Linked DNA regions of Xenopus tropicalis. The protein of the gene in region 1 interacts with the protein of each later gene in a pairwise test. Links are inferred from orthologs where the notes say so. Each region holds a gene or a part of one and is shown in the gene's direction. Other genes may lie near its edges. The genes, in order: amot and ptpa.

What was found.
Region 2: the proteins of amot (region 1) and ptpa interact in binary tests that used the Homo sapiens proteins (3 or more experiments, as listed by UniProt). The two-hybrid records come from large-scale screens. The link is inferred for Xenopus tropicalis from reciprocal best matches to the Homo sapiens genes AMOT and PTPA.

What each region holds. Positions count from the first base shown.
Region 1 is NC_030684.2:52,159,826-52,163,651, reverse strand, and holds part of amot (angiomotin), read left to right. Parts: intron 1-1,235; coding exon 1,236-1,426; intron 1,427-3,324; coding exon 3,325-3,447; intron 3,448-3,769; coding exon 3,770-3,826.
Region 2 is NC_030684.2:21,726,660-21,730,485, forward strand, and holds part of ptpa (serine/threonine-protein phosphatase 2A activator), read left to right. Parts: intron 1-1,457; coding exon 1,458-1,565; intron 1,566-3,113; coding exon 3,114-3,239; intron 3,240-3,826. UniProt on the Homo sapiens protein: PPIases accelerate the folding of proteins. It catalyzes the cis-trans isomerization of proline imidic peptide bonds in oligopeptides. Acts as a regulatory subunit for serine/threonine-protein phosphatase 2A (PP2A).

The sequences.
Region 1 (3,826 bases):
TAGCCCTCACTATATAGATCAGGGCCGAGCCCTCAGCCTGCCACCAAATACTTGCTTTGAAATTTGGCAGGTGGGCATACCTCTTTCCAACTGGATCAGGACATGCACCTGTCGGATAGGATTGGGGGCTGGCGGGTTGCGTGTGGCTTGGATAGCACTGTGTATAAATGTGGTGCAAACTTAAGGCCCCCATACACGGGCTGATAGAAGCTGCCGATATCGGTCCCTTGGACTGATTCGGCAGCTAATCGGCCCGTGTATGGGCAGAAACGAGCGGCCTGGCCGACCGATATCTGGCCAGATATCGATCGGCCAGGTTAGAAAATCCAGTCGGATCGGGGACCGCATCGGCTTGTTGATGCGGTCCCCGAACCGACTGCCCCATGGCCGCAAATGTAATCCGATCGTTTGGCCCCAGGGCCAAACGATCAGATTATTTTTTTTTAAAGCCACTTGCTACCCGATATCGCCCACCCGTAGGTGGGGATATCGGGTGAAGATCTGCTCGCTTGGCGACATCACCAAGCGAGCGGATCTTATAGTGTATGGGGACCCTTACATTTGTGAGAAGAGCAGAGAGGGATTATTTGGACTTGTAAGGTTTTAAAAGTATATGTAACCAGAAAAACCCTGATAATTGTTCATTGGGATTTTAGTGCTTTCGTGTCTGATGAGTGCGGGCTGGATTTGAAGAGTTTTAAGATGACTACACATTGGCAGATATTGGGTATAGATTTGGCTGATCAATCGATAGTCCGCTGGCGTTTCTATGTAACCAGAATTTTCACTATCCCATTTAGTATCTGGCTGTGCCTCATTTGGATACTGATTGGGCTGAGGTGTCTCAGTCAAGGACACATCAGTCTGTTTCACTGGCCACCAGGGTGGCCTGGGGTCCTTTGAAAACTCTTAAGGGCTCTGACACACGGGGAGATTAGTCGCCCGCGACAAAACTCCCTGTTCGCGGGCGACTAATCTCCCCGAGTTGTCATGACCCGCCATCCCACCGGCAAACATGTAAGTCGCCAGCGGGATGGCACACGCGGCGGCGCAATTTCTCGAAATCTATTACATAGAAATGTAATACTTCCATTAGATAAATCCAAAGGGAATACAATACAAATGATGGTATAGCTGCCATTTAAGTCTTTTGATTTATTCTTTAGTTTTCTGTTGGTCAAGTGATAATAGAATACGAGCATTGTAGAATTCTCTCTTTCTGTATTCTCTTACAGCGACAGGGGAACTCTCAGTCCAGCAATGTCTCTGAATACAGTGCTGCCACTCTCATGGAGCTGCTGAGAGAGAAGGAGGAGCGCGTGCTGGCACTTGAAGCAGATATGACCAAGTGGGAGCAGAAGTACCTGGAGGAGAGTGTTATGAGACAGTTTGCACTGGATGCTGCAGCCACTGTGGCTGCTCAGAGGTAGATTTTGAATATATTTAACAGTATTTATATAATACACACAATCTGAGTTGCTTGGTAGCTGACTACAAGCATTTGCCAATGAATATTCATATTTTGACAACTTCACAAAATAAGGGGTTTAACAGACTTTAGTTGTGTACTTTGTTTGAACTTAACCTGATGTTAACATTCCCTGCAAAAACATAAGTCACGAGATGATGTTACACTACAACTACCAGTTTCCCCTGAAAAACATCTGAAAGATTTGCAAGTAACCCTTTCCTGACCTAGTGTGACTCTGACTCCTGGGTGCTTAGTTGCAGCAAAAGGCCTACCATACATATAGAACAATAGAGATATTGGTCTATATAAGGCACAGTGCTGAGAATGCTGCAATAAAAATCACTATGGGAAAGTCATAAGCTACTTTGTCTGCTCTCCGGGTTATTTTTTCAAAATACTTGGAAGTCTTGCAACCAGCACAGGGTTGTTGCCTGTCGAGGAGCACGTATGCATTTGACACAAAGACTAATCAATGTGTGGCTACCATACATATAGCTAGCATTCCTCCCTTTTAATGTAACTTCTGCAATTAATATATATAAAGATGGTTAAATAGACTCGGGCTCTGTTTTGTGTTTCTCTTATTGTTCTAACTGGCAAAATTTCAGACTGTGGAGTTTGTATAGCTATTTAGGGCCAGATGTATCAAGAATTGGTACATTTTCTCAACATTTTCTGGTTGCCAGTTCTATAAATCTCCCTTTTCTTCATAAAAATATCATTAAAGTATCAGGTGCAGGATCATAATAATGTCTGCAGGTGCTAAGTTAGCTGTCTAGACAAGGCAGTGGGATAATGTATGTGGCAGTGGCAAGGACTCTAATAAGGTGGGTGTGCTGTGTGTGTGCATACCATACTTATCTTATCTCTGCCCTGTGAGCTTTTCTCATGCTGGGCATTGGAATTTGCTAGATATTCCAGGGACAGCACTGTTTGAAGAGCAGAAAGTTGTAAAACTGCACAGATAGTGTCTGAGCCTGTATACTATATGAAGTTATTTAACTGCTTGCATGCCGTTGATGTTCTTATCAGTAACAGCTTTAAAACTATAGGATGATGTAATTTCTTGGCACGCGTTACCATCATTAAGCAATGTTTTTAGTGTCAGGCAGCTGCAGAATAAGGGCTCTAGCACACGGGGAGATTAGTCGCCAGCGACAAAACTCCCTGTTCGCGGGCGACTAATCTCCCCGAGTTGCCATCACCTGCCATCCCACCTGCGACAATGTAAGTCGCGGGCGACTAATCTCCCCGTGTGCCAGAGCCCTAAAGGTCGCGGGCGACTAATCTCCCCGTGTGCCAGAGCCCTAAAGGTGGCCATACACAATTACGATTTTTCCCACAACCGATGGTTATAGGAAAGGTGGTTCGTCCTAACATTAAGAACATTAAGCTGGTATGCAAGTAAAAACAAAGCAAAGGCGTTCAATCTAAATTTTCAGTCCTGCCCGACCAATGAGGCTTTTACCGATATTGATCGCCTTGTCTCCCACGATTCACGCACCTTCTTGTCTTGTCATGTAAATTGTATTTTTATGACCTTAGGCAAATAGCACAAGTTATTTTGATTGCCATGATCCTCTCAAAGCAATTTTTCCCTATATACAACCTCTTCTCATTAACTTGAATTGAAAGCAGTGTTGCACAAATTGCACAGTAGAGAAATCTTAGTGGCAAATTGCAAATCCCAATGCACTTTAATTGCAATGACTCAGGACAATATCAGTATGCAATGTAGTTGCTATATGATGTCATCTGTCTTTTTCAGTGCATGATATGGGGAGTATCAAGTTCCATTGCCCCTAAGATAAGGAATTGGCAAAGCCCCTAACAAAGACATTTTTTTGTTTTAGAGACACTACATCAATCAGCCATTCTCCGAGTGGGAGTTTTGATACTTCTCTTGAGGCGCGGATCCAAAAGGAAGAAGAAGAGATTCTTTTGGCCAACAGACGCTGTGTAGATATGGAGGGCAGGTGAGCAGTTTGAGATTCCAAGCAAGCAGGTAGCCTAGAATAACATGGACCCTGCAGTTGGCAGTGTCTATCTTATTGGCCAGTGATGATTCATGTAATATTTACTCCATTCAAATTAGACTTTGGTCATTATAAACAATTGCTTTGGGCTGGCAGAGCAAATCTGCAAGTCATATTACAAAATGGGTAGTTGGTGTAAAGAGTCCTTACCTGCTGGGAAATTATTTGTTTTCATAAGTTTCTTTTATTTTAGTATTTAGTAAACTCATTAAGAATATTCAATATAAGTTAACGTTTGTTTCTCTTTTGGTTTGTCTTGCAGGATAAAGACACTACACGCCCAGATTATTGAAAAAGATGCAATGATTAAAGTTCTCCA
Region 2 (3,826 bases), about 30 Mb from region 1:
CAATGTAATTTCCTGAATTTTTTTTTTTAAATACTGTCTCTCACAGTGGGAATGCACCTACAATGTGAATTTCAGACCCCTCCATGATTTCTAAGTGGGAGGACTTGCAAAATCGCAGGGTGTTCAAATACTTATGTTCCTCACTGTATGTATGTATGTATATATATATATATATATATATATATATATATATATATATCTATATATATCTATATCTATATATATCTATATATATATATATATATCTATATCAAACTCAACAGTAGAAAGCACTCGCAGCTGTGAGTGCTTTCTACTGTTGAGTTTGATGCATTACTTTTGTCAGCACCCAGCCGTTGCCCCGATATTGGTGAGTGCCGATATATATATAATATTATATAATATATGGTACTCCCTCTAGTGAAATAATTGGGACAAGACACAAGCAAGTCCTAAAATGCCATTCATCTTCATGAAACTTATCAATATACATAACAAAACCCAAAGAAAGACTTTTTAATTGCTTTCTATTTTCTGGCGTAAGGAGGCCAGTACTGCATAGGTATCTGACTGGCTGGGCTTTGGGCTTAACAGACAGTAACTGCACAAGTGGCCATACATATTATGGCCAGTAATTAGACTGCAAGCTCTTTGACTTGGGGATGTGTGACAAGATGTTAGGGTGCTGTCCCTACATACAGTCTGTAGTTAGTACTGGGATGCTGCGTGTGTCATTTTATTGACTATACGTGTATTTTTGGTGGAAGGACAATCTGTACTGATCGTTGGCCACCCAGTCAGGCCTGGTAATCATTATAACGGTAGTGGTGTCCTGGTCTGAAAGCAATTACAGCCAAATTCCTTCCTTGTAGAGCAGGAACCAAAATACTTCAGCCGTTAGGGAACTATAAACTCCCAGCATCCCTCTGTCAGCTGAGTTTACTGGAGGATCGTGGGCGCCCAAGATGCTGCCTATCTCTAATATAGTGCTTAGCAGTGCTGGACCTTATTATTTTCTTCCTACCATAGTATCTCTCTGTACAGGCTATGTGCAAACTTAGGGGGCTGTTCCTGCTGAATTGTGCTTAGTACAGGGGAATCCCTATGCTGCCATAGTTTTATGGTATCTCTCTGTACAGGCTATGAGCAAACTTAGGGGGCTGTTCCTGCTGAATTGTGCTTAGTACAAGGGGAAACCCTATGCTGCCATAGTTTTATGGTATCTCTCTGTACAGGCTGTGAGCAAAGGGGGCTGTTCCTGCTGAATTGTGCTTATAGGGGCAGAGGAACCGGTACAACATAAATCGGGCCGTTATTTTCCCGTCTCTAGAGAAAGATCAAGTTTGGCATCATAAAGAATTTGGCTTTGCCTGTCCTTGCAGAACTTGGGGATATAGTGGAAGGGGGGGGGTGTTGATACGGTGTGATTTATCCGAAATGAAACGCTTCATACAATAATCTGTCATCTTTATTCGCAGCGGCTCTTCCAGGAGGGAACAGGTGACCGCAGAGCAGGGGCTGGAAATGGATTTTTTTGTGGTGGCTCGGCGAGTTCAGGAGAAGGGCAGCAGATAGGTTGGCGTGTTGTTAGTAACAGTGCACTTTTTCTTTTTTTATACATTTTATTTGGGACTTGCGCATCGTCGGGGCAGAATATTATTCAGCTGGCGGAGCGGCTCTTAGCCGCCGTTTTCCTGCCGCTGACCCTGGCGACGCAGGACATGCACCCTATTGCTTTTCCTTGCAATATTAATTTAGCCGGACAATAGAGAGCCGCCTGCACTTGCACACTGCCTTTCAGAAGGGACCCAGACACTTGTGTCTCTTTAATTATGTATTAGGCTGCCTGTGCTGGCAGCTGGAGCCTTCTCCATGCAAACAACTCTGCTGCTTTTAATCCCTTTAAAAAGCAATGGATGCGTGACTGTCCCTTCCCCCCCCCACCCTCCTCCCCCTCCTCCCCAGCTCTGAAGCCTAGAGGTACAGCAGCCCCTTTGCTATTACTCAGCCTGTAGCCTTTGGAAAGGAACTAGAGAGAGAGAAAAAAACCTGGTTGCCCGTAATGAGCTGCCTATGGCTGGGAGGCTGGTGGCCACGTAAATCATCGGCACTATTTAACAAAGGCCTCTCCGCCTGGGTCTTAATTACAGCGAGAATCCTGCCTGCCCGCAGCTGGATCCTTTAGCATGGCCTGGAGAGAGTCTGTGTATATGAAATAAATGCCAACCGCCTGTCCTCTGAATTGTGTGCCTCAGCCCTTTCTGCTTCTCGAGGATAAATAGGTTTACATGTAGCGTTTATCTTCCACTTGTGCTCCCTGAAACACACCATAAAATATCAAGGTGTAGTTTGTATGTGTTCAGAACAGTCCTCCTATTATACACAGGACTGGGAGCTGCCATATTGTTTCCCTTAGACTGTACAGTATGGGCGTTACAGCTTATTGTGTTCCCAGAACATTCCTGTATATTTGTATTTATACATATGGGAGGGAGGTGCCATATTGTTGCTCCAGGACAGTACAGTATGAGGGTATATCTTATTGTGTGCCCAGAACATTTCTTCTTTGTATATTTGTATTTATACATATGCGAGGGAGGTGCTATATTGTTGCTCCAGGACAGTACAGTAGGAGTCATTTTGTTTGACTGCAGGGTACTCCCTTGCAATAATGCCAGATTTAGGACTTTTGGGGAGGCACTTCAAATTTTAGTCATGCTGTCTAGTGCCTGTTTTTTGTGTACAGTCCAGAGATCCCCTGGCATCCTTGATGACCAGTTCAACTCTTAGGTTGTCTTGGCATGATTCATGCTGTTGGCTCTGTACCTGAAAAATAGATCTGTCCATCGTGAGCACTGTGCTATAGGGAGGCTATTGTCACAACTGACTGCCATACAAAAGGTAACCGAAAGTGAAATCATCTGTACAGGATATGCTGGCAAGGAGTAGGGCCACATCTTGCACCCCAGGCGACTTGCTGCCTTTGAGGCCAGAAAGTCCAAGTAACAGCCTATGGGAAAGGGGCCAGCCTGCTCTTAAAGAATGGGGTGCCCTTTTTGTTAGAAAGCATAACCATATGTGCTCCATCTGCCATGGTGCTTGCTAACCTAACTGTTTATATCCCTTGGGTACAGGTGATCCACAAACTGATGTCTCTGCTCGATACCTTGAATCGCTGGATCGATGAGATGCCCCCGGTAGACCAACCTTCCCGATTCGGCAACAAGGCCTTTCGCACCTGGTACGCCAAGCTCGATAAGGTGGGCACAACCGGAAAGCTGCACACCCTGGCAATGGCTGTGTTTCATCAGTGGCATGGCACAGGTCCTACTGGCCTTGGTTTAAAGGAGAACTGTACCCCGTTTGTAACTAATTTTTCATAAATCAAATCCAGCTAAGATAACATGAAATGCCATGGAAACAGTGCCCCTAGTGGTCAGAATAACAGATTGAAGACAAATATCACCATCACCGGTGAAGTTGCCCATAGCAACCAATCGGCAATTAGATTTGAATTCAAGTTAGAGAACAAATGCAAAGATCTTATTTGTTGATATGGGCAACTTCACCAGTGATGTTTGTCTCCAATGTTATAAATACGCCCATAGAATTTGCTTGTGTAGCTTGCCTTGGTAGATTCACCATAGACAACAATCACAGCCCCTAGTGGTTCTGCATTGGTAGTGTGGTTTTCCTTGTTTGTCTGTGGAACAGAAGATGAGGAAGCGACCACAGTGTTTTTTGTGCCAGTTAAATATTCCCTGTAATATCTAAGGCAGTCATCCCCAACCAGTGGCTCGGGGGCAACACGTTACTCACCAATCCCTTGAATACTCTGTGTCCCCAA